4 linked regions of the Schizosaccharomyces pombe genome follow. The gene in region 4 interacts genetically with the main gene of each other region. Each region holds a gene or a part of one and is shown on either strand. Other genes may lie near its edges. The genes, in order: pro2, rxt2, vps5 and gmh4.

What was found.
Region 1: mutations in gmh4 (region 4) and pro2 together harm fitness less than expected from each alone (positive genetic interaction), as found in Schizosaccharomyces pombe (one large-scale study listed by BioGRID).
Region 2: mutations in gmh4 (region 4) and rxt2 together harm fitness more than expected from each alone (negative genetic interaction), as found in Schizosaccharomyces pombe (one large-scale study listed by BioGRID).
Region 3: mutations in gmh4 (region 4) and vps5 together harm fitness more than expected from each alone (negative genetic interaction), as found in Schizosaccharomyces pombe (one large-scale study listed by BioGRID).

The regions. Positions count from the first base shown.
Region 1 is NC_003424.3:2,024,642-2,030,737, reverse strand, and holds pro2 (glutamate 5-kinase), read left to right. Parts: upstream 1-1,870; 5' UTR 1,871-1,985; coding exon 1,986-2,040; intron 2,041-2,164; coding exon 2,165-2,463; exon of another isoform or gene 2,464-2,539; coding exon 2,540-3,394; 3' UTR 3,395-3,530; downstream 3,531-6,096. Other genes in the region: ER protein disulfide isomerase Pdi2, read left to right, coding at 430-1,509; cytochrome c-heme-linkage protein Cyc2, read left to right, coding at 3,775-4,575; actin regulatory protein gmf1, read right to left, coding at 4,978-5,403.
Region 2 is NC_003423.3:448,689-456,911, reverse strand, and holds rxt2 (Clr6 and Rpd3L histone deacetylase complex subunit Rxt2), read left to right. Parts: upstream 1-3,866; 5' UTR 3,867-3,872; coding exon 3,873-3,898; exon of another isoform or gene 3,899-3,947; coding exon 3,948-3,982; exon of another isoform or gene 3,983-4,032; coding exon 4,033-4,157; intron 4,158-4,206; coding exon 4,207-4,315; intron 4,316-4,495; coding exon 4,496-4,923; 3' UTR 4,924-5,885; downstream 5,886-8,223. Other genes in the region: histone lysine H3-K9 methyltransferase (Suv39) Clr4, read left to right, coding at 1-337; pleckstrin homology domain protein Meu6, read right to left, coding at 600-1,910, 1,968-2,244, 2,315-2,682; arg12 (argininosuccinate synthase), read left to right, coding at 5,909-7,141; nuclear membrane organization protein Apq12, read right to left, coding at 7,631-7,978.
Region 3 is NC_003421.2:698,732-707,101, reverse strand, and holds vps5 (retromer complex subunit Vps5), read right to left. Parts: upstream 4,506-8,370; 5' UTR 4,496-4,505; coding exon 2,765-4,495; 3' UTR 2,284-2,764; downstream 1-2,283. Other genes in the region: xks1 (xylulose kinase), read left to right, coding at 326-1,294, 1,380-1,874, 1,926-2,129; TATA-binding protein-associated factor TAF6, read left to right, coding at 5,421-5,552, 5,711-6,937; protein mug123, read right to left, coding at 7,357-8,064. UniProt on the Schizosaccharomyces pombe protein: Required for efficient sporulation target of PtdIns(3)P in vesicle transport required for onset of the forespore membrane formation. Plays a role in vesicular protein sorting.
Region 4 is NC_003423.3:1,385,582-1,393,579, reverse strand, and holds gmh4 (alpha-1,2-galactosyltransferase Gmh4), read right to left. Parts: upstream 4,045-7,998; 5' UTR 3,398-4,044; coding exon 2,487-3,397; intron 2,434-2,486; coding exon 2,358-2,433; 3' UTR 1,914-2,357; downstream 1-1,913. Other genes in the region: serine/threonine protein kinase Mde3, read right to left, coding at 1-126; SPOM_SPBC8D2.18C (adenosylhomocysteinase), read left to right, coding at 612-1,913; SPOM_SPBC8D2.16C (uncharacterized protein), read left to right, coding at 4,843-4,968, 5,012-5,833; lipoic acid synthetase Lip5, read right to left, coding at 6,129-7,193, 7,235-7,282.

The sequences.
Region 1 (6,096 bases), on a different chromosome or scaffold from region 4:
CTGAATGCTAACCCTCAGTTGATTTGAATATAGGGATACGCCCGAGCACGGTAGTTTTTTACTATTGACAAGTAAACGTACTGTAATAACAGCAATAACTGAACTTAATAACATAGGTTCACTAGAGCTTTCTTGTATAATAGTTCAATCAATAATTTGTAGGTCTTAAAATGCGTTCATGGATGCGCTAGCGATATAAGCTTACCAAAGTGTGGAATAAAGAATACAGTGACGAATGAAGCTACTAAATAGTGCAATTTAGTGAATATTCCTTTTGTTATAGATAGGTAACATGGGTAACGATGCTCAGTAAGCTCATTCAAACATGACACAGCCGGCTTCGTACAGCTTACATTACCCAACGACATATACATACTTTTGTTGTACCTGTCCCGTATTTGTGGACACTGGAAAAGTAGAATACTTAGAATGAGATTACCTCTGCTGAGTTTTGTTATATTTGCGCTTTTTGCGCTTGTATTTGCATCAGGTGTTGTAGAGCTCCAAAGTCTCAATGAGTTGGAGAATACTATCCGAGCTTCTAAAAAAGGAGCATTGATTGAGTTTTACGCCACCTGGTGTGGACATTGTAAATCTTTAGCGCCAGTGTATGAAGAACTTGGCGCTCTTTTCGAAGACCACAATGATGTCTTGATTGGCAAAATTGATGCGGATACACACTCCGATGTTGCTGATAAATACCACATTACTGGTTTTCCAACACTGATCTGGTTTCCTCCTGATGGATCTGAACCAGTTCAGTACTCCAATGCTCGCGACGTTGACAGTTTGACTCAATTTGTGTCTGAGAAAACTGGTATCAAAAAACGCAAGATTGTCCTCCCTAGCAATGTAGTTGAGCTCGATTCTTTGAATTTTGACAAGGTTGTTATGGACGATAAAAAAGATGTTTTAGTTGAATTTTATGCGGATTGGTGCGGTTATTGCAAGCGTTTGGCTCCTACTTACGAAACTCTTGGCAAGGTATTCAAAAACGAACCAAACGTTGAGATTGTTAAAATTAATGCAGACGTCTTTGCTGACATCGGAAGGCTACATGAAGTTGCAAGCTTTCCCACCATCAAATTCTTTCCTAAAGATGATAAAGATAAGCCTGAATTATACGAAGGAGATCGTTCTTTAGAATCTTTGATCGAGTACATTAATAAGAAATCTGGAACTCAACGTTCTCCCGATGGCACTTTACTTTCTACTGCCGGCCGTATTCCAACTTTCGATGAATTTGCTGCTGAGTTTTTGGATATGTCAAACGCTGCCAAGGAAGTTGTTCTTGAAAAAGTCAAGCAGTTAGCCTTAGAGGATTCATCTAGATGGACTAAGTATTACAAGAAGGTTTTTGAGAAGATTTTAAATGATGAAAATTGGGTACATAAAGAAGCTAAGCGTTTGTCTAAACTTTTACGCCAGAAGAGCATCGCTTTGGCCAGTGCTGATGATTTTAAAACTCGCCTTAACATTCTAAATTCCTTCCTTCCTGGTAATCACTAGTGATTTGGAAATGTTTGCTACGTTATAGGTGAAAAAACTTAATCTTATGACCGTAGGTTTATAAATAAATCAACAGTTTCATGATATTTTCGATAAATACTGAGGAATATGTAGGTTAAAGTATTACCCTTTAACAATTTTTTATGTACTTATAAAAATAGATTTTCTCTCCATTAATGATTTGTGTCTTTTTTAGTTTCTACGTATATGATAAACTAAAGACAATAATTAATATTAAATAGAACGTTGTAGGTAAATTCAACAGCTATATACTCTAACAGGCTTTTATCCTTAAAATTGAAATCCAAATCCTACATATAATTATTCCTTATCAATGGGCTATAAGGCTTTCCGTTATTTTACCACTACTAGATGGGCCGTTGATTTGTAAAGGTGAAGACAAGTCGTATTCCACTAAAATTTATCCTTTTTTTAAAAAATAAATTTCAACAGTAACTTTGTAGATTTTTTTTAAAATGTCTCCGAAGTCGAAAAGCACAAATAAGACTTACACAATTGTCATCAAACTTGGTAAGCACGGAATAGTAAGCTATACAAAAGCATATGTATGAATTTTATATCTCACTTTTTCAAATATGTATTTCTTTGTTTGCTCGTTGTTGGCATCACAAACGCTTTGCTAACATTATTTTAGGCACATCGTCAATTTGTGATGAAAAGACTCATGAACCATTAATTTCAAATTTGTCACTAATCGTTGAAACCGTTGTCAAGCTTCGAAAGTTGGGTCATAATGTCGTTTTGGTTTCAAGTGGTGGTATTGCAATGGGCCTTCGTAGATTAGATTTACCTAAGCGTCCTTCAAAGCTTTCTGCTGTACAAGCAATTGCCGCGGTCGGTCAAGGAAGACTAATTTCCTTATGGGATACCTTATTTACACAACTTCGTCAGCCTATTGCGCAAGTTTTAATCACTAGAAACGACATTGCCGAGGTAAGATTCAGATAATTATTGTTGACACTTAAAAAATTATTTTAATTACTGACGGGTACTAACTATTAATATTTAGAGATCCCAATATGTAAATGCAGCGAACACAATTTCCGAGTTGCTACATTTTGGGGTAGTTCCCATTGTAAATGAAAATGATACTCTGTCTGTTCAAGAAATCCGTTTTGGTGATAACGATACTTTATCGGCAATTACAGCTGGCATGATAAACGCAGATTATTTGTTTTTACTTACAGATGTTGATTGTTTGTATACAGACAACCCACGTACCAACCCTGACGCTAAGCCTATTTTAAAAATTCATGATACATCAATGGTAAATGCAAACGTTTCCACACCCGGTAGTGGAGTTGGAACAGGGGGAATGAAGACGAAATTGATCGCTGCAGATTTGGGAACGTCTTCAGGCGTAAATGTTATAATATGTCGTGGTTCTAAACCTTCGAGTATATTCGATATAATCCGTCAGGAATCCTCTGATAATAAAAATGAGTCAGTTGAATTACCTCTGCATACCCACTTTGTAGCCAAAAAGCAAGGAAGGATCCGTGATCGACACTTTTGGCTTTTGCACGGCCTTAAATCACATGGGAGTTTGGAAATTGATCGTGGGGCTTTCGAGGCTATAACCCGTACAAATAGAGCAGGATTACTACCAGTTGGTGTAACCAAAGTACATGGCCATTTTTCAGCTCACCAAGCAGTTACGGTTATTTACAACGGAGAGGAAATTGGCAGAGCCCTTGTTAATTACAGCAGTACTGAAATAGATTTGATTAAAGGCAAGAGAAGCAAAGAAATTGCATCCATCTTAGGATATAACGAAACTGAATATGTCGCCTACAGAGACTATTTAGTAGTTCATGGTTTAAATTCTCATCATGATTCACAAGTTAGTTCTGATGAGCATTGATGTATATATTTAATCACTAGCTTATTTAGAACTACTAAAATTTGTTTTTGCTCTGTTTTTTACCTTTATTATTGGCTTACTGTTATTGAAATTTTTTTGTTATAGAAGGAAGGTTTACGAACTTAATATACAAAAACAGAACCATAAATATCTATTAGAAAATTTATTAAGATTTGTTTATTTTTGTTAAAAAACTATTAACCTTAGATAATAATCAGACGTTTTGTACTGAGTTGTGTAATTAACAAAGTACATTTTGTTGGTATTATATCGGATACTTCCTACGAAGCCTGTGATTGGATTTGGCTTTCATAAACGATGAATATAAGTACACGCAATTCCAACCTCCCCTTGATACAGTAAAACTTACAAAGAAAACAATGAGTAGCTCGACTTACAGGAAATTGCCTAAAATCTTAGCTGCAGGTCTTGCTATTGGTTGCGCAGGTGGTTATTATGCTTATAAAAATTCGAATAAGCCCCCAGGACTTAATCCCGAAATTTATGCTCCATTTACAGTTAATAAAATTACAGAGCTTACATCCGATGCTAGCTTGTTTTCGTTAGTTCCTCAGAGCCCTTCTGAACACCTTACTACTTTGGAACCGATTGCTAAGGTAACAATTCGTGATCCCAGTATGCAAGTCCAGAGACCATATACCCCTTTGTACTTGGATGCCAATGAATTAAAGTTCTTTATTAGAAAGTATGAAGAGGGTCCCGTTAGTTCTTATATTCATTCTAAGAAAGAAGGGGACACTATTGAACTTCGGGGTCCTTTTAAAACCACCAAACTCGATTGTACGAAGTACCCAAGAATCGTAGCTATCGTTGCAGGAACAGGAATTGCTCCTATATATCAATTAGCTCAGTCTGTTAAATCCCCAGTCGATATTGTATACTGCTCAAGGCCTGGTCAGCCCCCTTTGCTAAAAGAAGAATTGGAAAAGGAATGCCCAAACGTAAGGGTGAAGTCCGTCCAAAATCGTTTGGTAAACATTCATGACATTTTGGATTGGGATAATGTTACAGTTCCTTTAAAGGATACCCTTTGCATTGTCTGCGGTAGCCAGAAGTTTGTTTCTACAATTGCCGGACCGAAGGCTGATTATGGCGCAAGACAAGGAGAAGTCAAAGGACTTTTATCAAACAATCCGTTTGGGAAAGTTTGGAAGCTTTAGTTTAGAAATTTTTGGCTTAAGATTTTGGGTTGCACGATCTTTGGACAATTGTGCATAATACAAAAACGATTTTTTTGTTTATCTTCAAATAATTTATTTTTACCGATTTGGAAATAAATTTATACAAATAAGGGAACTCTTAAACGTTACGTGTTATCAATGAAATGGAGCGGTTTTCTTAGGTAATGGAGAGAAAATAAAAAAAATAGTATTTAAAAAGTTTCTAAGTGTATAAATTTTTATCCATTAAATCTAATTGTTATTGAGGGTTTATGCATCTGCTGCTAAGCAGGTATAGTATGTCAAAAAGAAAGCCCATACAAGCAAAATATCTTTAAATAATTAATTGCATAAAATGTGAACGAGGGAAAGGTTCATTTTCAACTCGCATATAAACAAGCATTAATGCAAAAACTCATCAACTGCTTCACTAGTAATATCTTCAGAATCTCTAGCTTCAAATACTTTGTGCACCTGCGACACATCTTGAAACCAGACTTTAGCAGAAGCATAAATCATAGATAAGTCATTTGGGGTAGCACTTGGTCTCCAGTATATCATAAACAATGGAGTACTAAGTCGACCATCTGTGGTTTTGGTAGGATAGGAAACAAGGATAAATCTAGGATTTGTTTCCGAGAGTTCATCTGCGACCTCTTCAATACTCTGTAAATCCATGATTTCTCCATCGGGAACAATCTCCTTAGTAGCTTTATCAACCTTGAGAATGAAAGCATACATAACTGATTTCTTCAACCGCAAACGAAATCGATCAATTTCTTTCATCGTGGTATCCGAAATGGTGAACATACGAGCCTCTGATGACATCTTTCTTGTTAGTTTATAATATTTATGTAAAACCACAGCAATAGCCAATTAAGGAAATTTAATTTCGAGGGTGGTGCTTTTGTTGGGTTGAATTAATACCGTTCGTGCAGAATCCTAAAAGATATTTAAATTCATGCTAGGAGTTAAAAATTTATTTTTGAGTTTTGATAGATAATTATTGATTTTTTAAATACAAATTATTCATCAATTTTATTATATTCAAAAAGTCTATATCCACGTATGTGATATCTTTGAAGTTCGTAAATTGGCAAATTTAAGCATTGTGTTATATTTACAACTTGATAAATAAAAAAAAAAAAAAAAAAAAAAAAAAGAGGATACTTAAGGATAAATATTATATAATACCTAAGATTGAACGAACTAATGTTTTTTTTTAATATTCCTAAGAATATCCTGTTAATGCAATCACTTTTTTAATAACATTCATAAAGTCTTTGGTCATCGGGACTAGCTAATAATACTTTACGACGAAGCGATAAAAATGTATTACTTTAGCAGCTCGAAGTCGAGCGGTAATAAATCAAACACTTAAATTTAAGTACTTATGTAAACTTTACTCTATAATAGGCTTAGGTGTAAAAGTTTATTTTCTTGCAAAAAGCACATACTACACCGCACCATGCTATGTCTGGAGTAGTAAATCTGGGTTTCCCACTTCACCCACTTGGCATT
Region 2 (8,223 bases), 940 kb from region 4:
TACCTATTTATTTGATTTAGACATGTTTGATGATGCTAGCGAGTATACAGTGGATGCTCAGAACTATGGAGATGTCTCTCGTTTTTTTAACCACTCCTGTTCACCTAATATAGCTATTTATTCTGCTGTTCGGAACCATGGATTTCGAACCATTTATGATCTCGCTTTTTTTGCCATCAAAGACATTCAGCCTCTAGAGGAGCTTACATTTGATTACGCTGGTGCAAAAGATTTCTCACCTGTTCAATCTCAAAAATCTCAGCAAAATAGAATTTCAAAACTTCGCCGGCAGTGCAAATGTGGTTCCGCTAATTGTCGTGGCTGGCTTTTCGGTTAAGCTAATTTATTACTGGTTGACTCCAATAATTACAATTTGTTTTTCTCCATTACTGTTAAACTGAAAAAGGTCATTCATTTTCTAAGCAACGAGATTATGTATATTATCTGACCTGTGGGATTTGCCGAACAATTATCGGTAAAACATATCGGTGCTTATATTTTTTACACTTGTTGAAAGCATTATAGTAATTGTTGTAAAGCCTAGCGTTAATGGAAAAACTCTTTTCATCTGCTGCGCACATGTGAAGTAAAAAGGGCGTTTAAGCGTTAACGGTAATGGACCGTCCTTCAGAAGCTATAGAAGGAGCTGCTTCTGTTTCGAGCACCTGGGGCATCTGATTGTTTTCTCCTTCTGCTGAGGCGAGGGCATCAGTTGTTTCTTCAGCTGGGTCTTCTTGTGCAGCTGTTCGAGGCGTTGGAGTTGTTGTAGGAGTTAAGGGAGTTTCCGGTTTTATTGTGGTTTTTGAGAACTGGGAAATTTCTTTTAGTCTCCCGTCTTTATCAAACTTCTTATGCACTTTTTTTTGCACCAAACCTGAGAGCTTCTTTGAAAGGTTGGAAGGAAATATCTCAAATCCTGCCTTAGCAAATTCAAGGGAAGGATCTGCCTGTAAAGTTTTAACACTTTTGGTAGGTTTAGCATACTTGTGAAGCTTAAAGCCGAATACTCTCTTGTTGCCTCCTTTTTTCTTCTTATGATGCCGATGATGCTTTTTTCCGGCTTTCTTAGACGTTCTATCTTCATTGCTGACAACACTCTCTTCATTAGTAGCTGCAGTGGAAGGGTCTTGATCGTCTGCAGTAGGGGTCGCAACATCGGGAAGTGCTATATCAGGAAGTGCAATATCAGTCTCTTCTATGAAAGCTTGTTCAACTGATTGGGCTGTACCTTTAACATCTTCTTCAATGGCGTCTGCTATTTGACCGATGGGGGTTCCGTTATCATTTTGAGTAGAAGCTTGCTCAACATTTTGAGTTGATGTTGATTCTTCTGCCGGACCTGTGGCTGGTTTTTCTTCTGATGCGGGAGCCACTTCTTCCGTAGTAGCAGGAAAATGTTCTTCAGTGGTGGGAATTTGGTTAGTTTCATTCTCAGGAACTTCGACTGATTGTGCTTCAACAGTAGTATCAACCGGGTCAGCTGACGTTTCATTATCAATGGGACTAGCCGTATCGTTTTGCGGAGTTTTCCCCTTAATCATGTTTTGAAAAAAGTCAAAAAGACCGTCTTTGGCAACAGAATTGTTTTGTTTTCCGCCATGAGATTTACTAGATGACTTTTTCGCGTCCCGTCCGTTAGAAAGCATTGGAAGGAAATAACGAAATGTTTCACTTGCTGAAGGACCTGAACGAGCTGCTAACTTGCCGAGTCTTTTAAGCGTGTCATTGTAAGCACGAAGCTCTTTAATTTTATCTTTGGTTTCCTTTTTCTTAGCAATGGCATTTTTGAGATCAGTAATCCATGTATTTTTACTTTCTGGGTCTAGGGCTTCAAGTGTTTCTGATTTACCATTGTTAAAATTGATGGTGAATTTGTTTCCAGTACCGGGTTCTATGGATACTGCATCAGTCTGAAAATACAGTTAGCACGGTTAAAACTAAAAATCAGGGGAATTAGGAATTCTTACCAAATTAATGATTCCGCTTGGGACACTAGTTGATTGAGATTTGGAGTAAAAGAGTAAACCACGGCAGTCTTGAGTAGCTTTAGCGATACGGTTAAGGTGATCATTAGCAGACTGGAAGAGGGAATCAGCATCAGAGTCGTGCATTTGCTCAGAAGCTAAGGAAGGTTCCGTTGGGTTACCTTGCAAAGTACCATGGAAGTGTTTTTTATAATAATGGTCTAATAAATCCATAGACATAGGGCCTTCTAGCATATAAAAATACCTTTTCATGACATGACTACATGTGGTTAGTAAGATTACTCAATCGATTGTTTGATTTTTAATAAATGGATGCTGTTTTGACTTACGGAATAAGTCCGTTGGATCGACAGTATAAATACCCACCAGTGGTGTAGGTCAATGGTTTTTCATCCTTGGCTTTCTTCTTGGATTTTTTTTCTTCAACCTTGGGAGCTGCCACGCTGTTTGGATCATCATCTGCAGGATCGATATTGTCGACTGTTTCAGGCTCCTTGGGTTCCTCAGGTGCTTGTACTTCTGCAGGAACAGCGTTTTCAGTGGCATCATCATTGTCGGTTTCGTTGCTCAATGGCACCTCCAGTGTCTCCACCTGGGCCTCAGCAGATCCCGAATCATGTTCATTGTGTTCCGACACATTTTCGAAAGTAGGTTCAGCAATCTGCTCAGGTCGTTCTTCACGGCCCTCATAAGACATGATAAGAAGTCGAAAACAACAGTTAGGCTCTCAATTTTGGATTTTTTTTATGCTGTAAATATTTGTGGTAGAGGAAAAGTCTGCGCCAAGCTGGTTATTTGAATACCAATTGTTGGCGAGAATGTAAACAAACAAATCGACTACCTAATATACAAACAAACGATGGACATCAATAGAAAAGGGAAAATACATAGAATTTACTTTTTAAATGTTAAAAAATTTCTACTAATTCATTCTTATTAATAAAATCTTCAACGGCCATTAAATCTTGTATTCGCTCATTCGTATCAAAACATATACATTCTTCTGGAATCGAGCTGTCTGCGATTGAATGAACTATATAGTATTGAGAGATTTTACAATTAAGTGTTTGTCTTTAATTTCTAATTGCGACTACCATCCTAAAATTTTCATTTGAGTTGAAATCTGTTTAACAACAACAGATGAGCCATATTTTTCATTGACTTTATACATGATTGTCACCATTAGTTCCTTTTTTTATAAAAATTAAATGTTGTTTAACTATTCTGCTCATTTGTTTTGCTTAAAAACTAAGTAGGTTTTAATTGGTAAGAATTTTACGAGATTTTAAATTTTTATTTATTTACTTATTATTTTTGACGAACGCTAGTTTCAAAAAAGCAAATCCAAACTCGAGGTATTTTCAAATTGTTTAAAATTTTCAATAGAATGGAAGGATGTTTTTTAATGCTTTCCACATCTTTGAATTGGAAATTTCCTTTTAATATTTACACTTCTTCCAAGAAAACTATAGCAATTTGTTTCATTATAACGACATAAGTTTGTAGGAGAAAAAGTGTGAGAATATAAAAGTTCCATAATAATACATTATTCTCTATGGATTAATTATTTTTTTTAAATATTTTTTTAAGTTAAAAAGCTGGTCTTTCCATCCATGTAAAAATTGGAAAAGGAATATCGAGAAAGCAAAATAAACCAGGCCCTACCTGCGGAAAGGGATTTTTCTTATTATTCAAGAATACTAGCAGCTTACCTCTAACGATTAAAACAATGTATATTTTTGTTTCAATACTATTTATTTATAAATTGAATAAGTAACCCAACTTACGCCAGGTTATTTTCGCATTTTATGTAAACGCTATAATGCGATAGAAATCGCTAATTTGTACTGGATTGAGTAAGTATGAATATCTGACGTGCCAAAAACCATGAAGCAATTTGAAGAACAAATTGAGTAGGTTTTTATGAATGTCACGTATTATGTATTTTTCTAACAAATTTAGAAGGTTTAAGCAGGCGTTATTTGAAGATTCTGATGGTAATTATTGTCAAAATGAGATTTATAATTTTCACTAACATCTCGTATAGCCTCGGATTCCGACTCTTCCATTGGAGAGGCACTTACAAATCGTGGATTAAAAAGAAAGAAAGGATCGAAAAATGTATATTATGGTTGCGTCGGTAACTCTAGTGGCTCCTCTATAGACATTGATGTATGTGTGAGTAATTGGGAATCGTAAACTGCTAACCACTACTTTATAGTACTATAACATTGGTAATACTAAAAGAGGAGTTGTCTCTCATTTTCGAAGGAGAATAGATCCGGAATGGTTGGACCATGATAACCCATATAACGATATAAACATAGCTGGTAAGTCGTACACACACTTAGTTATGTTAGACATACAATTTTTTTGATTCATTGTGCTTTTGGAGATTTCGTGTTGTGTTTTCAAAGATTGATTATGAATTGAATTGAAATATTAGTTATCAGCACTCGCCAATCATGGTCATATACATCGATCGCTTGCTAACTCAGTAAAAATTATAGAGATCATGTCACCGCTGACAAAACCACAAGACTTGCTCACACATCCTGCTATATCTTCCATATTTGAACAAAATTATTTATCAATCCTTGCTTCTTCTGCTCTTGAAATTATATCTGCTGAACACAAATATACTGCTCATCTCGAACAATTGATGGTTGCACTTTTAGGTGATGACCCATCACTACCAGGACCACCTCATGAAGTGTTTGGGATTTCTCCTGAACAGTGTAGAGAATTGACGATCACAGTTCAAGAAGCTTTGGAAAAAAGCAAGGAGTTTATTAGATGCTGGACAAACGTTCGCATGGACCTTCTTCGGGCCATTCGTTTTAAAAACAAAGTCATTGCTTACTGCCAAGGTGAAGACTATAATGGTAATACCCAAGTTTTGTCTAAAAATGAGAGTGATGGAAAACCAAATTCCTAAAATTTATTGATTTCTCATCAATCTTTTCAATTTCATTATTTTGAAGCTGATGAAGCGTATAAGTCAGCAAAATAAAACGTTGAGAATATTATTCTTTATTCCATTCGATTTACAATTCCTTTTTACGACATTATAAAAATAGAATTATCCTTTTTTAAAACGTCTTTGGTGATTTCTTCTGCAATGAAACTTAATTATTTCTTTTACTTTTTCATAACGTTGGGTTTTTTCTCAAGCTTGGCATCCCCAGCTATTAGAAACTTTGTCTTATAATTTGAGATACTGCTACTTACATATTCCCTTTGGCTATCCTAATTTCTATCCACACTTTTTTCTACTTATTCTTTCCAAGGGAAGTACGTTTACGTTTGCTGTTACATAATTTCATTTATCACTGTTGTATATTTTTTCGTTCAATCAACCGACTAACATGTGCTTGCCATTTGTATGTTAATACATTACTTATCCTTTATTTTGCTTTTTCATTTCCCCAAAGTATTAAAATTGTTATTTGTTGTGAAATTGCCCAACCTTCTTTTTGTTAGAACAATGTAAGTGCTTGAAACAACAAGATTACAAGGATTTATCGCAAAACATATTCAAGTAAACATCAATCTTTAAAAACCTGAAACCATCAGAACTATTGTTTGACTGTCCCTGATATGATTGTATCACTTTCTTCCTCAAAACTAAATTCAGACACACTAATCAATGCATGTGTGACAAGATATTTACGATTCCTGCATGTAATTTAACCGAAACCTGTTTTCACACATTTCTCAATTAAATTTTTGTTAAGAATTCCTATACTAAGAAAAATTTTCAGATGTGTGTAAAATTTCCATCGTTTATCTATAAAGATGGTTTATTGATGAGAAAGATAGTAAAAAATAGTGTCGGCTATATTATTACATCAGTGCGCTATCAGTTTAAAAGGTTGGGCCTACTAACTTAACATATACTACACCTCAAGAAAAAGAAAGAAATGCCCCAAGAAGTAAAACGTTGCGTTCTCGCCTATTCAGGTGGTCTTGACACCTCCTGTATCCTCGCCTGGCTTATTGAAGAAGGTTGGGAGGTCATCTGCTATATGGCTAATGTTGGTCAAGAGGAAGATTGGGATGCAGCCCGTGAAAAGGCCTTGAAGGTGGGTGCTAAGAAGGTTTACGTTGAGGACTTGCGTGAAGAGTTCATCAATGACACCGTCATTCCTGCTGCTCAAGCTAACGCCATTTACGAAAATGTTTATCTCTTGGGCACTTCTCTTGCTCGTCCTATCATTGCTCGCCGTCAGATCCAAATCGCCGAGAAGGAAAACTGTATCGCTGTCTCTCACGGTTGCACTGGTAAGGGCAACGATCAAGTTCGTTTCGAATTGGCATATTACGCTTTGAAGCCAGACGTTCAAGTCATTGCTCCTTGGCGTTTGCCTGTATTTTTCGAGCGCTTCGCCGGTCGTAAGGATTTGCTCGAATATGCTGCTGCTAAGGGCATTCCCGTTACTCAAACCACCAAAAAGCCTTGGTCTATGGATGAAAACATTGTACATTGCTCGTATGAAGCTGGAATCCTCGAGGATCCCAGTATGACTCCTCCCAAGGACATGTGGAAGCTCACCGTTGATCCCAAAGACGCTCCTGATGAGGTTGAAGAGCTCAGCATTCACTTTGAAAAGGGTGCTCCCACCAAATTAGAGTGCAAGGATGGTACCTTTAGCGGAGTCGTTTCCATCTTCTACCAATTGAACGCTATCGCTCGTCGTAACGGTGTTGGTCGTATCGATATTGTTGAAAACCGTTTCTCTGGTTTGAAGAGTCGTGGTTGTTACGAAACTCCTGGCTTAACCATTTTGCGTACTGCTCATATGGACTTGGAAGGTTTAACAATGGAACGTGAAGTTCGTGCTCTCCGTGACCAATTCGTTACTTTCAATCTCGCTAAAATTTTGTACAATGGACAATTTTTCTCTCCCTGCACTCGTATGCTTTTAGCAGCTAACAACGTTTCTCAAGAGGTAGTAAACGGTGTAGTTAAACTTTCTGTCTACAAGGGCAATGTCACTGTCCTCGGTCGTAAATCTGATACTGCTCATCTTTATGACGAGAAATTGTCATCTATGGATGAGCTTGGTGGATTTGACCCTACATGGACCTCTGGTTTCATCCAAATCGAGTCTATGCGTTTGCGTAACTCTGATGAAGGAAAACATTGGATGTAAATGCCAGGTCGTTCTCAATAATAATGTCATACTCACCATGTACTTGAGCCAAGCAATAATCAAATTTCTGCTGTGCAAATAAGAAGTATTATTTGAGATGGCTTCCTTTTCATATTCACATTTCATAGAATTACTCCGTTCATATCACTGATAAGTCAATTGAATATTTTTGTTGCAAAAAAAAAATAAATTCTGAAAACTGTAACTAATTGAAATTGAAGTTTTATATTGCAAACGCAAATTGTTAAGATGTTTAATGTACTCAATACTATGCTTTTAATTTAAAAAATATTTTACAGGCCTTTAGCCATTCTTCGTATACAGTCCTAAAATCAAGAATAATGTCGAAACCATCTTGAATGATAAATGAAATGAGGAACAAAAAAGATGAAAAATATATTACTAAAATAAAATTTTTTAAAGCATATCCATAACACTTTGTACTCGGTAATCTGAAAAAACAAAGAAGATAACGCTGCTAGTCAATGTTCAAAAAGATCCGTTATTGATAAACCAGTAAGCAAAGAGACAACCGATTAGTAAGAAAAAAGAAATTACAGCAAGTGTTTTGAAGAGGGCAAGGGCAATACTGGTAGTCTTATTTACAATGACCAAAGAGAAGTATAACACTATAATCAAAGTCAAGATATTAATAGCTGAGGGCAAGCTCAATCCTAGATTTCCATTGAACAATGATTTTAGGAAAGACGTTTCATATTTTTCGAAACTTTTGCCTACATTTTCAACGGTTTGAAAGACTTGATCAGGATTGGTATTTAATCCATGGTCCACAGCAAGTTTGGCGACGAAATTCCATAAAACGGATGTCAAAGACATTTTCTAAAAAGTTAAAATATGAACGGGGAGTAATAGAGATGGGAGTAGTTAGGTGTGCTTTTTGACTGAATGTTGACGTTGTAGGCGAATTTTACCAACGATTACATTTGCTAATAAAATATGTTAAAATAAAAATTGGAAGATGAGTTGAAATAAACGGTTCTATAAACAAAACTCATTTAAAGAAAGAACTGGCAAACAGATTATGTCAACATATCTCATCTAATATCGAGACTACTGATAAA
Region 3 (8,370 bases), on a different chromosome or scaffold from region 4:
TTCTCTAGAGTAAACAAGGTACCTTACCCCAACAACACTCTGAGTTTTTTTAAGCTAACGTTTGAAAAGGTTTCGGTAAACTGTATCTAAGGTATTTTTACGAACATAATCGTAAGTAAAAACGGACATAAGTCACGGCTAGAACTTTTGGATGTCAATGGTTAACGATATATATATTGATCAGACATATAACTGCGGAAAATACAGCTTAAGGAAGGCGCTAAAACGAGATTTTTCTGTTAATTTGATTTTGTCGAAATTCATTCTTTCCGTTTCTTAAGTACAATATATCGACAGTCATTTTAAAGATTTGACTTTTGTGAATATGTTTTTAGGTTTGGATCTCTCAACTCAGCAGCTCAAGGGCGTGGTCATTGATGAGTCTTTGAACGTGCATCAAGAGGTTGCCGTCGATTTTGATCGGGATCTAAGTGATTACAACACTATCAAAGGGGTCTACAGGAATGGATATGAGGTTTTTGCTCCAGTATGTATGTGGCTAGACGCCATCGATTTACTGTTTGAGAGACTTAAGGCTTCTGTGGATGTTAGCAAAATACAAGCTATATCTGGTGCCGGTCAGCAACATGCAAGCGTTTTCCTGCTTAAGGGAAGTAAAAAAGCCCTCAATTCGTTGGATGCCAAATCTTCTTTAAAACAACAATTGGAAAGTCTCATTCATCCAACATCTCCAAATTGGCAAGATGCCAGTACTACCAAAGAATGCGAGGAGCTTGAATCTTGCATTGGTGGAGCCAAAGCACTAGCGGACCTTACTGGGTCTAAAGCTCACCTACGCTTTACTGGACCCCAAATCAAGCGTTTTCGTCGTTTGCACCCCGAGACATACGAAAATACCGAACGAATTGCACTTGTCTCTAATTTTCTAGCCTCGGTACTTCTGCAAACCGAGGCACCTTTAGACATCAGTGACGTTTGTGGAATGAATCTCTGGGACATTCAGAATGAGAAATTCGATATTCGCTTGTTGGAAGAAGTTGCTGGTAATTCTAAAGGACCCGACTTGGCTAACAAACTAGGTACGGTTGAGATTAACGGGGCAAAACATCTAGGACCAATTGGGAAGTATTTCGTTAAGAAGTATGGGTTTTCTCCTAACTGTCAAATCATTCCTTTAACTGGAGATAACCCTGCCACTATTTTATCCCTTCCTTTAAGACCGGGAAAAGATGTACTATTATCATTGGGTACTAGTACTACTGCTCTAATGGCTACTCAAAACTATGTGTGTTCTCCAGAGTATCACATGTTTGCTCATCCTGTTACGCAGAACGTAAGTTGAACTTGACTTTCTTTTGGTGAAGTAGTTGTTCAAAACTCATCATTTTCTCTGGTTTTCTAACTAACATGGACTTTAGCATTATATGGTAATGTTATGCTATAAAAACGGTAGCTTAGCGCGGGAACAGGTAAGAAACACAATCAATGAAAAATATAATGTTTCGGACAATACCAGTTGGGACCGCTTTAATGAATCGATTTTGAACCCCAACATTAAAGGTGCTGGTGAAAAGAAACAGCTCGGTCTTTTTTATCCACAAAGGGAGATTTTACCCGCAGTTGGACCGGGTACGTGGAGATTTGCAATCCAAGGCACCGAGTTGTATCAGGTGGATAAAGATGAAGAATCATGGGATTATCCAGATGAGGATGCTTCTGCCATAGTTGAAAGTCAAAATCTTGATATCCGCATGCGGATTACTCCTTTGCTAACTGGTATACCACAACCTGATCGTGTTTATGTTGTAGGAGGAGCTAGTCGTAACGAGGCTATTGTGTTTAAAATTAGCCAGGTTTTGGGATGTGATGTTTATCGGCTAAAACACGGCGGTAGTAATGCCTGTGCTGTTGGCGTAAGTGAACGGAAAATGTTGTTAATTAATAGTTACTGACCATCAATTTAGGGCGCTATCAAGGCTGCATATGCAATGAATGGAAAAGGATTTACCTTTGAAGAATATGTAAACAAATCTTGGGATGAGTCCAAGAAAATTGAACTAATCATGAATAAACCATCCGCCCAAACTTATGAAGAATATGGAAAGCTTTTACCTTTCCTCAAAAAGGCTGAAGACATTGCGATTCAACAGTCAGATATCCGGCATTGAATTGATTAAATGCTTTTCCATTTCGCACTTGATTATGTGATTAGCTATTGATATAACGAGATTATTAATGAAAGCGAAATCCACTTTTTTTTTTAAAAAATATGAATAAACCTTAGGATACAAAATGATAAACGTTTCCTACATGAACATTTTTTTGAGCTATCGTTTTGAGAGCTTTGAATCACGAGTCTAAATTAAGACAAATAAATATGTAACATAAAGTAGTCATACACCATATTATTAAACAAATTTTTGCATACGCTTTTACATATAAGTAACACAATTTAAGCAGGAAAAAGCGTTTAAACATAAACAAATATAAAAAGGCTTGAGTAACAAAGACAATTTTTAAAAACATACACAAGTTATTTATTTACAAAGGAGTGTAGGGTTGCTGTAAGGTTAGTAGATAGAATGCAATATTTTAAGGTACATTTTCTTTTCAAGTAATGAAGTACCATGGACGAAAAGGGAAATTGCAAAAAAATAATTAGAATAGAATAGAAATCGTCAGCTAGAGAAGTGCAAAGTAATAAAGCGGTAGTTGGAAATACATTAATACGAATATGGGATAGAAATATTACACGAAAGAAAAACATAAAAATTAAAAGAGTGCATAGGGAAAATTAGAGTCGTTATTGATCCAAAAATGATTCCCAACGCTCAATAATTTCTTTTTGAGATTCAATTGCAGATTCCAACCACGTTTCAACACTAGCTTTGAGATCATCAACTCTACTGGTTGTGAGAGAACTCAAATCTCGTTTTAACAGAGTTGTTGATTCCGAAAACTCTTTTTCCAGATCAGCAGCTTTTGCTCGATATTTTTCGTATTGTTCTTCCAAGTAAGGGAGTGATTTTTGCTGAGATTTCGCTTGCTTTTTACATTTCTCAAGTTGAGTTTTAGCACGAGAAACAGCTTGAACTGAAGATTGCCATGTCTGCCACAACTTTTGACGTGTAGTAAAGGCATTTTTGGCACTCTCCACGTACCGAATGTACTCCTCCAATGTAGTGCCCAGTGTCAAATTGTCTTGAGCAACCTTACGTTCTTGTACAAATCGAAGCTCTACCTGGAGTTGGGAAAGACCATCAAACTTGGATGATAAGGTGGGCTCTAAATCAACTAAAGATAAATTTCCAACAGCCTCGCCAAAATCATGGATGGCTGAAGCGAACTGTATGCGTTGATCTATGGATAAAAGAAGCGCGTGATAAACCGACTTTAGTTGAGTTTCCAACGAATCAAGTGTATCCTTTGCTTCAATTAAAATTGGATCCTGTTCGGAAAATTTAGAAGATCCAGAGGTATGGAAGGCGGAGGTGAATGAGTCAAGTAAACCAGATGTTGAGGGACCTGAGCGCAAAGGACTTGATGAACTCTCAATGAGAGTAGTACGATGTGTCATTCTAGGGTCAAATGTCTCTGCTTCAAGAAACAACTTAAATGAGTAATCATCACGTAGAACCGGATGGGCAGATATTTTGCGAAGCATTACCTCCAAGGCTGCTCGTCGCTGTTCAATAAATTCATCATCAAAACGGCCTACAACCTGCTTTTCCGGGATGGGAGGAATGATACAACCCGGATGATTATTAGAAAGCAATTGATAAAGAAAAGCAAAATCATTATATCGTCTTTGTACAGTCACATTGCTAACAGAAGGTTGATTGTGTTCCTCTAAACGAGTGGAAACCGAATATACGGTATGCGATTTAGTGATTTCCTTAACGGTATGAGGGTCATGAACTTGGATGTAAAACGGGGTAAGAGATTGAGGTGCCGCTGCCGGGTGCGCCTTCTGATTCTCCGTATCTGTTAATGAGGTTGAACCTTGCTTCTGGGAGGAGGCAGATGAGACAGTGTGTGTAAAATTTGGAGCAGAAGATGAGGCAGCGTCTAAAGTATCTACCGTCTGTTCTGAATTTGGTATAGTGGGATTTTCCGTTGCTCCGATAGGAGAAGGGGAAAAGGAGTTCACTTCTGAGATCCAAGGCTTATTTGCAGAAAAATCTGCATTCAAAGCGGGACTAGATCCTTTTAACGGATTAATTTTTGTATTTAAACCAACTTCCAAACGGTTGTTTTCGGGTGCCATAGAAGGTGCATCAGAAAATTGCAAGGGACCTAAAGGTGCAGAATCCAAAGTTAACGTTTCAAACGGAAGAGATTTCAAATTGACGCTTCGTTTCCTAGGAGATGTATAGATATGAGTTTTTGGTGGAGAAGCTTGAACATTCGGCGACTCTTCTTCCACTCCTTCAGCTGAGGGCTCTTGGTCGGTTTTTGGAGGGTTCAGTGGAGAAACGGAATCTGCGAATGGATTAAATGCATCGTCTTCTTCATATATATTATGCCCAAGCATGATGGTGGCCGGTTGGGTTTTTGGATCTGATCACTGAAATCGTGCCTGAAATGGTGATGCGCAGCCCAACGACGACTAGCGAAAAATAACGATGGTTAAATACGTTTAGCAATGCGGGGTGACTTGCGGTGCAACTAGATAAGTGTCAACAATTCAAGTTTCTAATTCCTTTTAAGGCTACATTAAATTATATTTAGCTTGTAGAAGCAGTATATTGCGTTATACAGTATTGTGAGTGGTGGGTGATAATATATTTATCATTGTAACAGCTAATAACTGGACTGAGAATGATGCTCTGTTCAATCTAGACTTCTAATTTTAACTACTATTTTATATCAATATCAATGGATGTTTTAGTAAACAAACATATAGTCTTCTGCTATTGTTCAACAAATTGAGATTAATTGGTATTCCATGTAGTGTATTTTGATGCGTAACGTAATGTTTAATAGCGATTTTAGTGTAGCTCACTGTCTTGTAAGCTACGCAGTTTGGTATCTGATTTAAGGATACGTAGAACTGCGGTGAGTTTTCCTTGTGATCTATTATATTACAATACACAGGTTGTATAAGTAGCAACTGAGTATAGGTATTGTATTAACTGGGTTATAATGTTACCTATCACTAATATAGCTCATAACTGAACTGAGGAACGAGGTTCAGCAGTAGCTCTATTTATAGTATTCAGATAATATAGATCTTAATAGATTATCATTAAGATCAATCTCCATATCGTATCATACATGGTACGATATATAATTAGAACATGTGACATATAGTGATACGCAACGTAGTGTATTATAGCGTAGTGTAGTATTGCTGACAAGTATGTTAAATAAAGCAGTTGCTTCTAACATCGTTAACTACTTCTCTGCAGATGCAATTCACTCATTGATCCATAAATCGTTCATCTTACTACCAAGTCATGTCCTTGACAGTATGGAATATTGAATCCATCAAAGATGTTGCTGAAATGCTTGGGATTGGCAATCTTGCCGATGAACCAGCAGCAGCTATTGCAATGGATCTCGAATATAGAATTCATCAGGTGGTTCAGGTAGGTTTCGTGAAAGTAGACTATGAGATTTTACTTTCTTTGGAAGAGGCTAAAATAACTAAAAAATTGTTGCTAGTTTTTTACGATGCCTTTCAATTTGCTAGATAGTCTGCTTTATTCTGACATTAAACATAATTCTCTAACAGTATTTGATTTAGGAAGCCACTAAGTTTATGGTTCATTCTAAAAGAACTGTTTTAACTAGCGCAGATATCTCTTCAGCGTTACGGACGTTGAATGTTGAGCCGTTATACGGCTTCAATAATTCTCGTCCATTAGAATTTCATGAAGCCGCTGTAGGTGCAGGCCAAAATTCCCTTTACTACCTTGATGATGAGGAAGTGGATTTTGAAAAAATCATAAACGCTCCTCTCCCTAAAGTCCCTAGAAACATTTCTTACAGTGCACACTGGCTGGCCATCGAAGGTGTGCAGCCAGCCATTCCTCAAAATCCAACTCCCTCAGATCACACAGTTGGAGAATGGGCATCCAAGGGTACTTCAGGGGTTATGCCAGGTGCTTCAACTGCTGCTAAAGAAGCTCGAAACGGTGTCACTTCGATGGACAACGTTGAGATAAAACCGTTGGTGCGACATGTGCTATCCAAAGAGTTACAGCTTTATTTTGAGCGTATTACCAGTGCATTGCTTGATGAAACTAATGTTGAGCTCCGTGATGCTGCCCTATCGAGTTTACGTGACGACCCCGGATTACACCAACTTTTACCATACTTCATAATGTTTTTATCGGATTCTGTAACTCGAAACTTAGGAAATCTTGTGGTTCTTACTACTTTAATGCACATGGCCTGGGCCCTTCTTGATAACCCCAACCTTTTTGTAGAGCCTTACGTCCAACAACTCATGCCATCCATCCTTACTTGTTTGGTCGCGAAGCGCCTTGGCAGTGATCCTAATAATCACGAGCATTATGCACTAAGAGACTTAGCTGCTTTTTTACTCGGGATTGTTTGTGATCGATTTGGTAATGTGTATTATACATTAAAGCCTCGCGTTACTCGCACGGCACTCAAAGCATTTTTGGATAACACCAAGCCATATTCCACTCATTATGGTGCCATCAAAGGCTTAAAAACTATGGGGAAAGAAGCTATTAGAGTCCTCGTCGTTCCCAATATCAAAGTTTACGAAGTCCTAGTTCGGAAAACCTTGGAAAAAGGAAATGAAGAGGAGATTTACGAGGCCAATAAATGTATGGATGCTTTGTACGACGCTTTGCTATTACTGCGGGATGATCAATTACCAAATCAACGAACTCTTCCGCCAAATGCTAGTGGTCTTCTTGAGAAGAACGTTGGCAGTTTAATGGCTGAAAAGATAATGAAGGAAAACGATACCTCATTGCTTCTTGGTCTGCTAGAATAGTCTTCGTTGGGCATAAAATATTTGTTTTTGAACAATTTAATCTATGAATCTCGGACTTTAAAATATTTACCCAATTTTCCACACTACCTAAACCATTATAGGTTCTATAATTAAAATGTTATTGATATTCATGTTACATTAAAACAGGAAGCACCGAATAGCTTTCAAATGAATAAAAATAGAATGATGATAATATTGATATAGTTTATTTCATGTTTTGATTAAAGATGTGAGACTAGCTGACAATGCCGGGTTTTAAATGAAAGAAATACGTAATAGAACAGAAAGGGGAAGGAATGCTTGATTATGCCAAAGAATGCGAATAAAAGTAAACGAATTAAAGCAATTAAACTAGGTGAGGGAATAGCACCATAATAAATAATAATACTTTATCAGATATCGATGGAAAAATAACTGCACTAATCGCTATCGAATTCATCATTGTCCCCCATATTTGTGATTACTAGACGTTTCATTCCTTCTTCAGCACTGTCCTCGTCTGAAGATTCAGAACTGCTGCTTCGTCGATTGACAAGATAAGATTGAATATCATGAGTAGGTGATCCGCTACGAGATTCAAAGCCGTCTGATTGAGTAGTTTCGGCTCTGGAGTCTGCTCTTGAATGTATTGACATTCCCATAATGGAAGGTGCAGTCCCACTATGGGTTGAGCTGGCACGTGAAGACTCAATCATTGAGATATATGTTGGTGCAGTATTCGATGTCGAAATTACCAATTCGTCCTCATCGTCATCCTTACCTTCGGTAGCAGATAATCGTGGAGTAAGAATGGTGTGCTGAGGAGCCATTGTACGTGAATGAAGCGAAGCAGGACGGGTGTGATAAACACCATGATGCTGGCTAGAAAATACCCTTGAGCGCATGCCTCCTAAGCCTTTGCTGGAAGACTTCCCATTTTGTGATGAACTTTTGATTGATGGGCTAGAGTGTAAAGGAGCCACACGGCCTATATCACTCCAGACAGTCGCCTTTGCACGGCGTAAACTCTGTACGTAAGAAAAAGTAGAACCATTTGACTCATGGTTGCTATTAATGGCATTCGAAGTTGGAAGGGAAGACCTCGAATATGGATCATCATGGCTCGATCGAGTAGCTAAACGTTCCATGCGATTAGTCTTCTGTCTAGTAATGATTATTATCTATTTATTCCTTCTTTGAATAAGTTGCTTGTAGAGTAATTCCAATTAATTTTTAAAAATTTCACAGACAAATGCCGGGATTAGAAAACGAATGGTGTTAAGATAGACAATCTTTTATTTGATTAAGCAATCAGCTAAAACTAATTAAACAAAGCTCATATATCTTTGAAAAGCGCAAGAATTAATGTTTCGTACTGAAAATTGCAAATGTGCGGAAGCTATGTTTACATGTCTCATTCTCGAACATACGGTGTCCCAGAGGTAAATCTTATT
Region 4 (7,998 bases):
TTCTTTTCTTTGAGCTAAATATACCGTTCCAAAGCTGCCATCACCGAGCTTTTGCTTAACCAAATATCTATCTTCAAATATGACTTGTGTCAAATCTAACACTGAGTAAATACTTTCATTACTCATTGTATCTGTGTTTTCAGTAAAATATGTATAGTGGTAGAAATAGAAGCTGAGAATGGGTTTGTTTATGTTTGTTTACATTCCAACATATTACGCGCTTGGCTGCATTTACTCACCAAGCTCCTGCTAAAGAGCTTAGAATGAGTAGATCTTTAGATTAAACTTCAAGAATTACAATAAATATATGTTTTTAAGTGAATTACCTGAATTTCAAACATTTTCCCATTGCAGATCGATCGTCATCTCGTAAACTTCGTTTTGGAGGAATATTTTTTTATGAAAAGTTTTTATTGAATATTTTTTATTTAATAAAACTTTTTTCTCAACAAATTTGATTAAGAGGCTTACTGTGCTTAGTCGACTCATTTTTTCGCACTTCAACTCATCCTTTGCCAACCATTCGTAAGGACGTGGTAGTTGATCTTTTGCTTGATACATCTATTTTTTTTTACTATTTTTAATAGAATCATATAATTTTTTAACTCATTATGGCTACTCAAAACTACAAAGTTGCTGATATCTCTCTTGCTGCCTTTGGTCGCAAGGAGCTCGAAATCGCTGAAAATGAGATGCCCGGTTTGATCGCTGTTCGCGAGAAATATGCCAAGTCTCAGCCTTTGAAGGGAGCCCGTATTGCTGGTTGCCTTCACATGACCATCCAAACCGCCGTCCTCATCGAAACTTTGGTTGCTTTGGGTGCTGAAGTTACCTGGTCCTCTTGCAACATTTATTCTACTCAAGATCATGCTGCTGCTGCCATTGCCGCCACTGGTGTCCCTGTTTTCGCCTGGAAGGGTGAGACTGAGGAAGAATACCTCTGGTGTATTGAGCAACAATTGAAGTCTTTCCCTAGTGGTAAGCCTTTGAACATGATTTTGGATGATGGTGGAGATTTGACTGCTCTTGTTCATGAGCGTCACCCTGAACTTTTGGTTGACATTCGTGGTATCTCTGAGGAGACCACCACTGGTGTTCACAACTTGTACAAAATGTTCAAGGAGAACAAGCTTAAGGTTCCTGCTATTAACGTTAACGACTCTGTTACCAAGTCCAAGTTTGACAATCTTTTTGGATGCAAGGAGTCCTTGGTGGATGGTATCAAGCGTGCCACTGATGTTATGATTGCTGGTAAAGTTGCTGTTGTTGCTGGTTTTGGTGATGTTGGTAAAGGTTGTTCAACTTCTCTTCGTAGCCAAGGTGCCCGTGTCATTGTCACTGAAGTCGATCCCATCAATGCCCTTCAAGCCGCTATGGACGGTTTCGAAGTCACCACTATGGAAGAGGCTGTTAAGGAAGGTCAAATCTTTGTTACCACCACTGGTTGCCGTGACATTATTCGTGGTGAGCACTTCAACGAAATGAAGGAGGACTCTATCGTTTGTAACATTGGTCATTTTGATGTCGAGATCGATGTCGCTTGGTTGAAGGCTAACGCTAAGGATGTTGTTAACATCAAGCCCCAGGTTGATCGTTATGAATTGAAGAACGGTCGTCATATCATTCTTTTAGCTGATGGTCGTCTCGTTAACCTTGGTTGTGCCACCGGACATCCCTCTTTTGTTATGTCCTGCTCTTTCACTAACCAGGTCCTTGCCCAAATCGCTTTGTGGACCGATAACACCAGCTATCCTCTTGGTGTTCATATGCTTCCCAAGAAGTTGGATGAGGAGGTTGCCCGTCTTCATTTGGGTAAACTCGGTGTCAAACTTACTACTTTGACTTCTGTTCAATCCGACTACTTGGGTATCCCTGTTGACGGTCCTTACAAGGCTGATCACTATCGTTACTAATCTATTCTTATCATTTAGTTTATAGAATTTATTTTGAAGTTATAATTACTTTAAAAATGTTTCAGCCTCTTTTTTTTGCATGAGTGATGTTTCAACAGCATCTATGTCTCTATGTCGCCATGAAATGCATTAATGTTATTCAACTGGGTTTATGTGGATTTCAGGTCAAACATAATAAATGTTTCTTTCTTTGCATAGAATAGCAATTAACGTGCTTTCATTAAGAAGATTTGATGAATATAACATATGAATTGCTTGACTTGTAAACCAATCTGCGATGTATTTCCGTAAACGAAAAACATATCTTCCCTTGATCAAACAAAGGAAATTAAGTATAAATTCATTAAATTAATGTAGGAATATGCAAACCACCGAATTTGAAAGATAGGTTTAGATGAAGATGAGTTACTGGAAATGAAAGTAAGATGCTAAGACAGTACTAACCTACGATTGTTCATCAACCGTTTCTTCCGAAAGCTGCTTTTTAATGGCTGGAAGTTTTCTCTGTTGATAGTAGTTGCTGGAAGTGTTAGTAAAAATACAAGAGACCAAGATGATAAATAGAATACATACTCGAATATACGCTCGCATGCAGCAGCGTTCTCACAGTCCTGAAGAATAACCAAGAAATCACCTTCTTCGTAATTCAAATCGACCGCAGAGTTGGTGTATGAATTTAAAACTTTAGGAGACACAAGTGCAACATGATCCAAGATAGTGTTATGTGCTTCCAATAAGTGGGATAGCGCAGATCGCTCAGCTTGATCAAAACCGGCGGATTTCAACAAAGGTTCATTCCAAGCATCTAAAAGAAATGGCGCAAAGTTGTTATTTTTAATAAGCAAAGAACGCGTACTAATTCCATTATAATCACTGGTGGTAATTACAAATACATCAGATGGATCCATTTTACGGCGTGTACGGATGTAGTTCTTTAATGGATCGATCGGAGAATTAAGAAGCAAATGCTGCGACAGTTTTTCTGGTTTCAAGACCCTATCCTTGAGAGATTCGGAAGGATTCATTATAACAGCCTTTGCATCGAGCAACCATATCCAGCCAGCGTCGGGATACTCAGCCAAAGTTTCCCTCAAAGCTGGGATAATACTCCAAGTACCATAGACACCATACCTCGCTTGAATATCGCGGGCTTTCTTGTGGACTAGGGTATAGCCATGACGCAAGGCATACTCTGTACGATCAGAAAGCACTTTATCCAGGAAGACAGAGCTGGAGTCAGATCTACTTGAATCATAATGGTCGTCAAAACTAACAATCAACATGACTACGGAATCAGGATCTTGTGGAGATGTTTTCGCCTTAGAAACACCTTTGTATGAAGAGGAATGGGCACTGGGAGAACCAATCGAATTGGAATAAACAGGCATTGAAGACTTTAAAGAATAAAAGCCAAAAAGCAATAAAACGATGGCCAAGAGACCTAAACTTTTTCCTCTACGAGAAAATAAACGAAAGTTGAACATCTTGCAGAATACAAAGTAAAAAAGTGCAAAACAAACAGTTTGCGAGAAAAAATGAGTTGGTTATGCGCGTCTATGGAACAAGATAACGGTTTAAAAGAATAAACCTTAGGGGTTTTTTAAATGTGCAAATAATGTAGAAAAGAAGGTAAGAGAATATCTGTAAATCGAGAAGGTATAAATAGAGAAGAGAAAAAAAGGTATAAAGATCTGGGTCGTAAAGAAAATGGAATATATATGGCCCTTTTTTAAATGCAAATAAATGATCCAACGATATATACGCGAGTATATCCGAAAATTAAAACAGTAAAGATGTTACAGAGGGCGTTTTCACTAAGAAATACGAAAAACCGGATAATGAAAGAAACCTTGCGAGAACACAACGCCTAGCTTTCAAAATGAGCCTTTTTGTCAAGCTATATCGGCGATATTTAAAAAAGAGGAAGATTCTACAATTTAAACAACAATAGATTATAGCTTATCCTGACAACAATCCTTTTACACCGTTTCAAAGACTACGAGTCAAGATGGACTGGTTATTGATATTGAATATGATTTTTACAGAAATCAGGATCCACCCAACCACGTACTAAGAGCAGAGAAACGTTGCTTTTATAATTGGCAGCAACTTGGCTGTATTTGTAGTCTGCGTGTTCGACATTCGAAGGATTTTGATTAACGTGTACGATGCATCCTACCTAACGTACTCTAACGTGTTTTTAGATTTTTTTAGTGATATTGAAATTATACTTTAAACTGTTATAGCGTTATACCCGGTGCTACTCATTATATAGCGAAAATCATAAAAGTAAATAGTAAATAGAGTAAGATTGAAGATGAATTGAATCAGAGTCGATGAACTTCTATTGACTTAAAAAATTATGTATGTAATTAATAAAATATCATCTTGTTTTTTCTACTAACAAATTTTTACAGCGGTTATATACAAGCTTCGGCGTGTATAGTTGGTTTATATAAATTGCAAGCAAAGTGTACACCATTTTTTTTATTATTTCCATATAAAGAAAAAAAAAAAAAAAAAAAAAGGGGATTCTATAGCCCTTTGGTATTTACGAAGACTCATTGATAGTTTAAATCGCACTCATTGAATGGCATTAAACACATTTGTTTGTTTGAATTTTTTTCATTGTTTATGAAGTACAGGATTTTTTTTTTTACCTATCAATAAAAGTATTGATATAAAATATCCCTTTACCTTGATCAATACTTCAAAAAAAATTTAAAATTAGTTTAATTATATTAAATGGACGGTTTTTAGCCTGGTAAATGAAATTCATGCCTTTACTCTTCACCAACTTTTTAAGACGTTAAAATTTTTATAAAAAGCCAAATCCTAATATTCTGTTTCCCAAGACAGCAAAAAGTAAATAAAATACTGCTACTTGGGCCATATTATTACTTCTCATTAATTGCTTACAGAAACTGCTATGGAAAAAGAAAGCGAAATACAAAGCTTACCACCAACGAGACGATATACGATATCTTTAGCATTACCTATTTCAAGTCTAAATGTAGCATACAATTTGCAGCTTAAAACGAGTTTTGTCTGGAAGGTTTGAAAGATTCGTTGTTGTCGCGTATTAACTCAAAATATAGATTTCGAGAATAGTTTCTCTATATGGTATTGACGAAATTATTTTGCTAGAGGACCCTGAATATGTGCAAAACACCCAGGTACATACACTTTCCTCTGATGCTTATTTAAAGGATCCCACAAAATTTCTCACGGACTTATTATGCTATTTCGAAACGCCTTTCTTTATGAGGAAGGAATTGTTTCCACTAAATCCACATCTAAAATATACTAGCTGCTTTCCATTACTTCCCCTCAGAAATGACAAGGCTAGCACAGTGAATATTGAATTCCCATACCGAGAGGGAATCGTTACTCATCCATCTCCGCAAGCAAAGAATAAATATATTATAAATGCTGGACTATCTCACAATGTAATCGTTTCCAGCCCCAGCGTCCTTGCTCCTAGAACAAGGGTCACGGTTCGATTAAAAGCGCAGTCTCCAAACGAAGAAGGCCAGCTTCAAGGTGATATCGTGTCTTTTTCAGCTCCACGAGAAAAAGGTGGTCATTATTGGGGTTACAAGGTGCGGTCATGTCTTTCTTCTCAGCTGTGTAAAAGTTCTCCTTACAAAGGTGGATATGACTTTGTTGTTCAAATCAACAGTCAGACTTCAGCTATTACTTCAAAAGAGTTAGAAGCGAGTTTACCAAGTTCGTTTCGGCATGCTGTTCTTGTTTTACAAGACAATGTCGTACAAAAAGAGCTCGTAGACTCCACTGCCAAAAGTATTTCTTTTAACCCATTCCCAGTTTCTTTTCTAAATGATCCCATTCCTGAAGAGATACTTTTGGCGGCCATGACCCGTTTGTCAGATATGTTGCTGATGCATGGACGACGATAAAGCCTAAATACTTACAAAGGTGAAGCTGTCTTTTTCTTACTTAAATATTATAAAGCTGTCTCGCTAATCAAGGAAAACAAAATCAATTTTGAATATGATAAATTATAAGGATAACTTGGGTATAAAGACGATATTAGAAACTAAGACGAGAATTATTATGATTAAAATTATATCTAAGAGTGTATTGTTGAAATAAAGAATAAAAAAATTTAAAAGATGATTCGAGTCAATGCAAAAAAGGGTAATTCTGTTGAAGACAAACTCCTATCGAGTGTACCTAGATAAGCAGCCATGTTTAAACACTCATAGAAGCAGGGTTTCCTGATCTCTTTTTAATAAGATTCTCCATAAAATATTCGCCAGCCTTATAGCTACTACGAACAAGTGGACCACTAGCCACGTATAAGAATCCTAATTTCTCTGCCACTTCTTTCCAATATTCAAACTTCTTAGGATGTACATACTCTTGCACTTTTAGGTGTCGTTTGGTAGGTCTCATATATTGACCAAAGGTAACGACATCTACATTATGTTCCAGGAGATCCTTAAGAGTTGTTAGAATTTCCGCATCGGTTTCACCTAGACCAAGCATAATACTGGTTTTAGTGATAAGGTGAGGACATGTTTTCTTCACATGTTTTAGCACGCTCAGACTTTGTCGATATGTGGCTCGTCGATCTCGAACAAATGGGGTAAGTTCCTCTACCGTTTCTACATTGTGTGCAAAGACGTCCAAACCAGATTTAGCTACAATCTCAACCAAATCCATTCTTCCACTAAAATCGGGGGTCAAAGCTTCTACCAAGATGTGCGGGGCTTTTTCTTTAATTTTTTGAATCGTTTTTGCTATATGATTGGCACCAAGGTCAGTCAGGTCATCTCTATCGACACTAGTGAGAACAATGTACCCAAGGTTCCATTGTTTGATGGCTTCTGCTGTATTTTCAGGCTCGTTGGGATCTAAAGGACCTGGACGGCGACTGGTCTTTACCGAACAAAAGCGACATCCACGAGTACAAGTATCACCCATAAGCATGATCGTAGCTGTGGCACGAGATTTGTCTTTACCTCCCCAGCATTCTCCAATATTCGGACATTTCGCTTCTTCACAAACCGTATGGAGATGAGATCCCCGCAAATCATGCTTTATTCGGTTAAAATTTGTTCCTAGTGGAACTTTGGTTTTAAGCCATGAAGGCAATCTTTTGTGTATAGAGCCATTTGGTAGCTCTACTTTTCTATCTAACTCGAAAGCTTCGTCAGCAGTCAATGGTTTATCCATGTTCAAGAAATCTGCAAATGATGGTCCTTTCGCCAACTTTTCTGAAAACCCTCCAGATTGAAACCTCACGGAGGCAAACTATGCTATATTAATAAAACTATAAATAAAAGAAAACTCACCCAAAAATTGTTTTTTAATATCGTAGCATTTCGACCTATTTTCAACATTGCTGTGTAGAGGAAGTAAGGACTATTAGACAGTATGGGATTGGATATAAAGTACTAACCTTACTACTACCTATTATCCGTGTTAGCCCATCAATAGAAAACAGATGTTTTAAACGTTATTTTACCTATTAAACAGTCTCCTTCATAATTCGAAGTTTCGTTTTTTTTGTTGAATACGACTCAGTTTGTGGACAATTGTAAGAAAATTCAAAACATTAAACCAAGCTGTTTACCATAGTTTTGGACACTAATCAGCCAAACTACAAGCGTAAAGTAAAGATATAATTGAATATTTTTTTCAAATAAACTCTCAAAATTTTGTGGTCTCACGTACTATGGTAAATTTCTCGTCATAGGGATTCTCCTATTTTTTGAGTGATTTTCAAAACTTTAGCTTCCTATTATGAATATGTATAGTATGTTTCTGCAAGGTCACTTTGATTTCGACTTCGATTTACTCATTTATGAAAGCCCTGTAAAAACAGGCCTAGACAGATTTTCTATGTAACCTTTTAATTTTAGAGACACATATGAGTATATTTGAAACTTTTTTTGAAAATAATGCTTCTCTTCTTTAACAGCTTCCGTCTTTTTTATGCGTGATTTACAAAATCTCAAGTAAGAATTTTTTCTATTTATTTTCGCATGAGCAATGCTTGACATAAAACGAATTAAGCTGGTTAAAGATTGCTAAATGATATTTGAGAGCAGCTTTG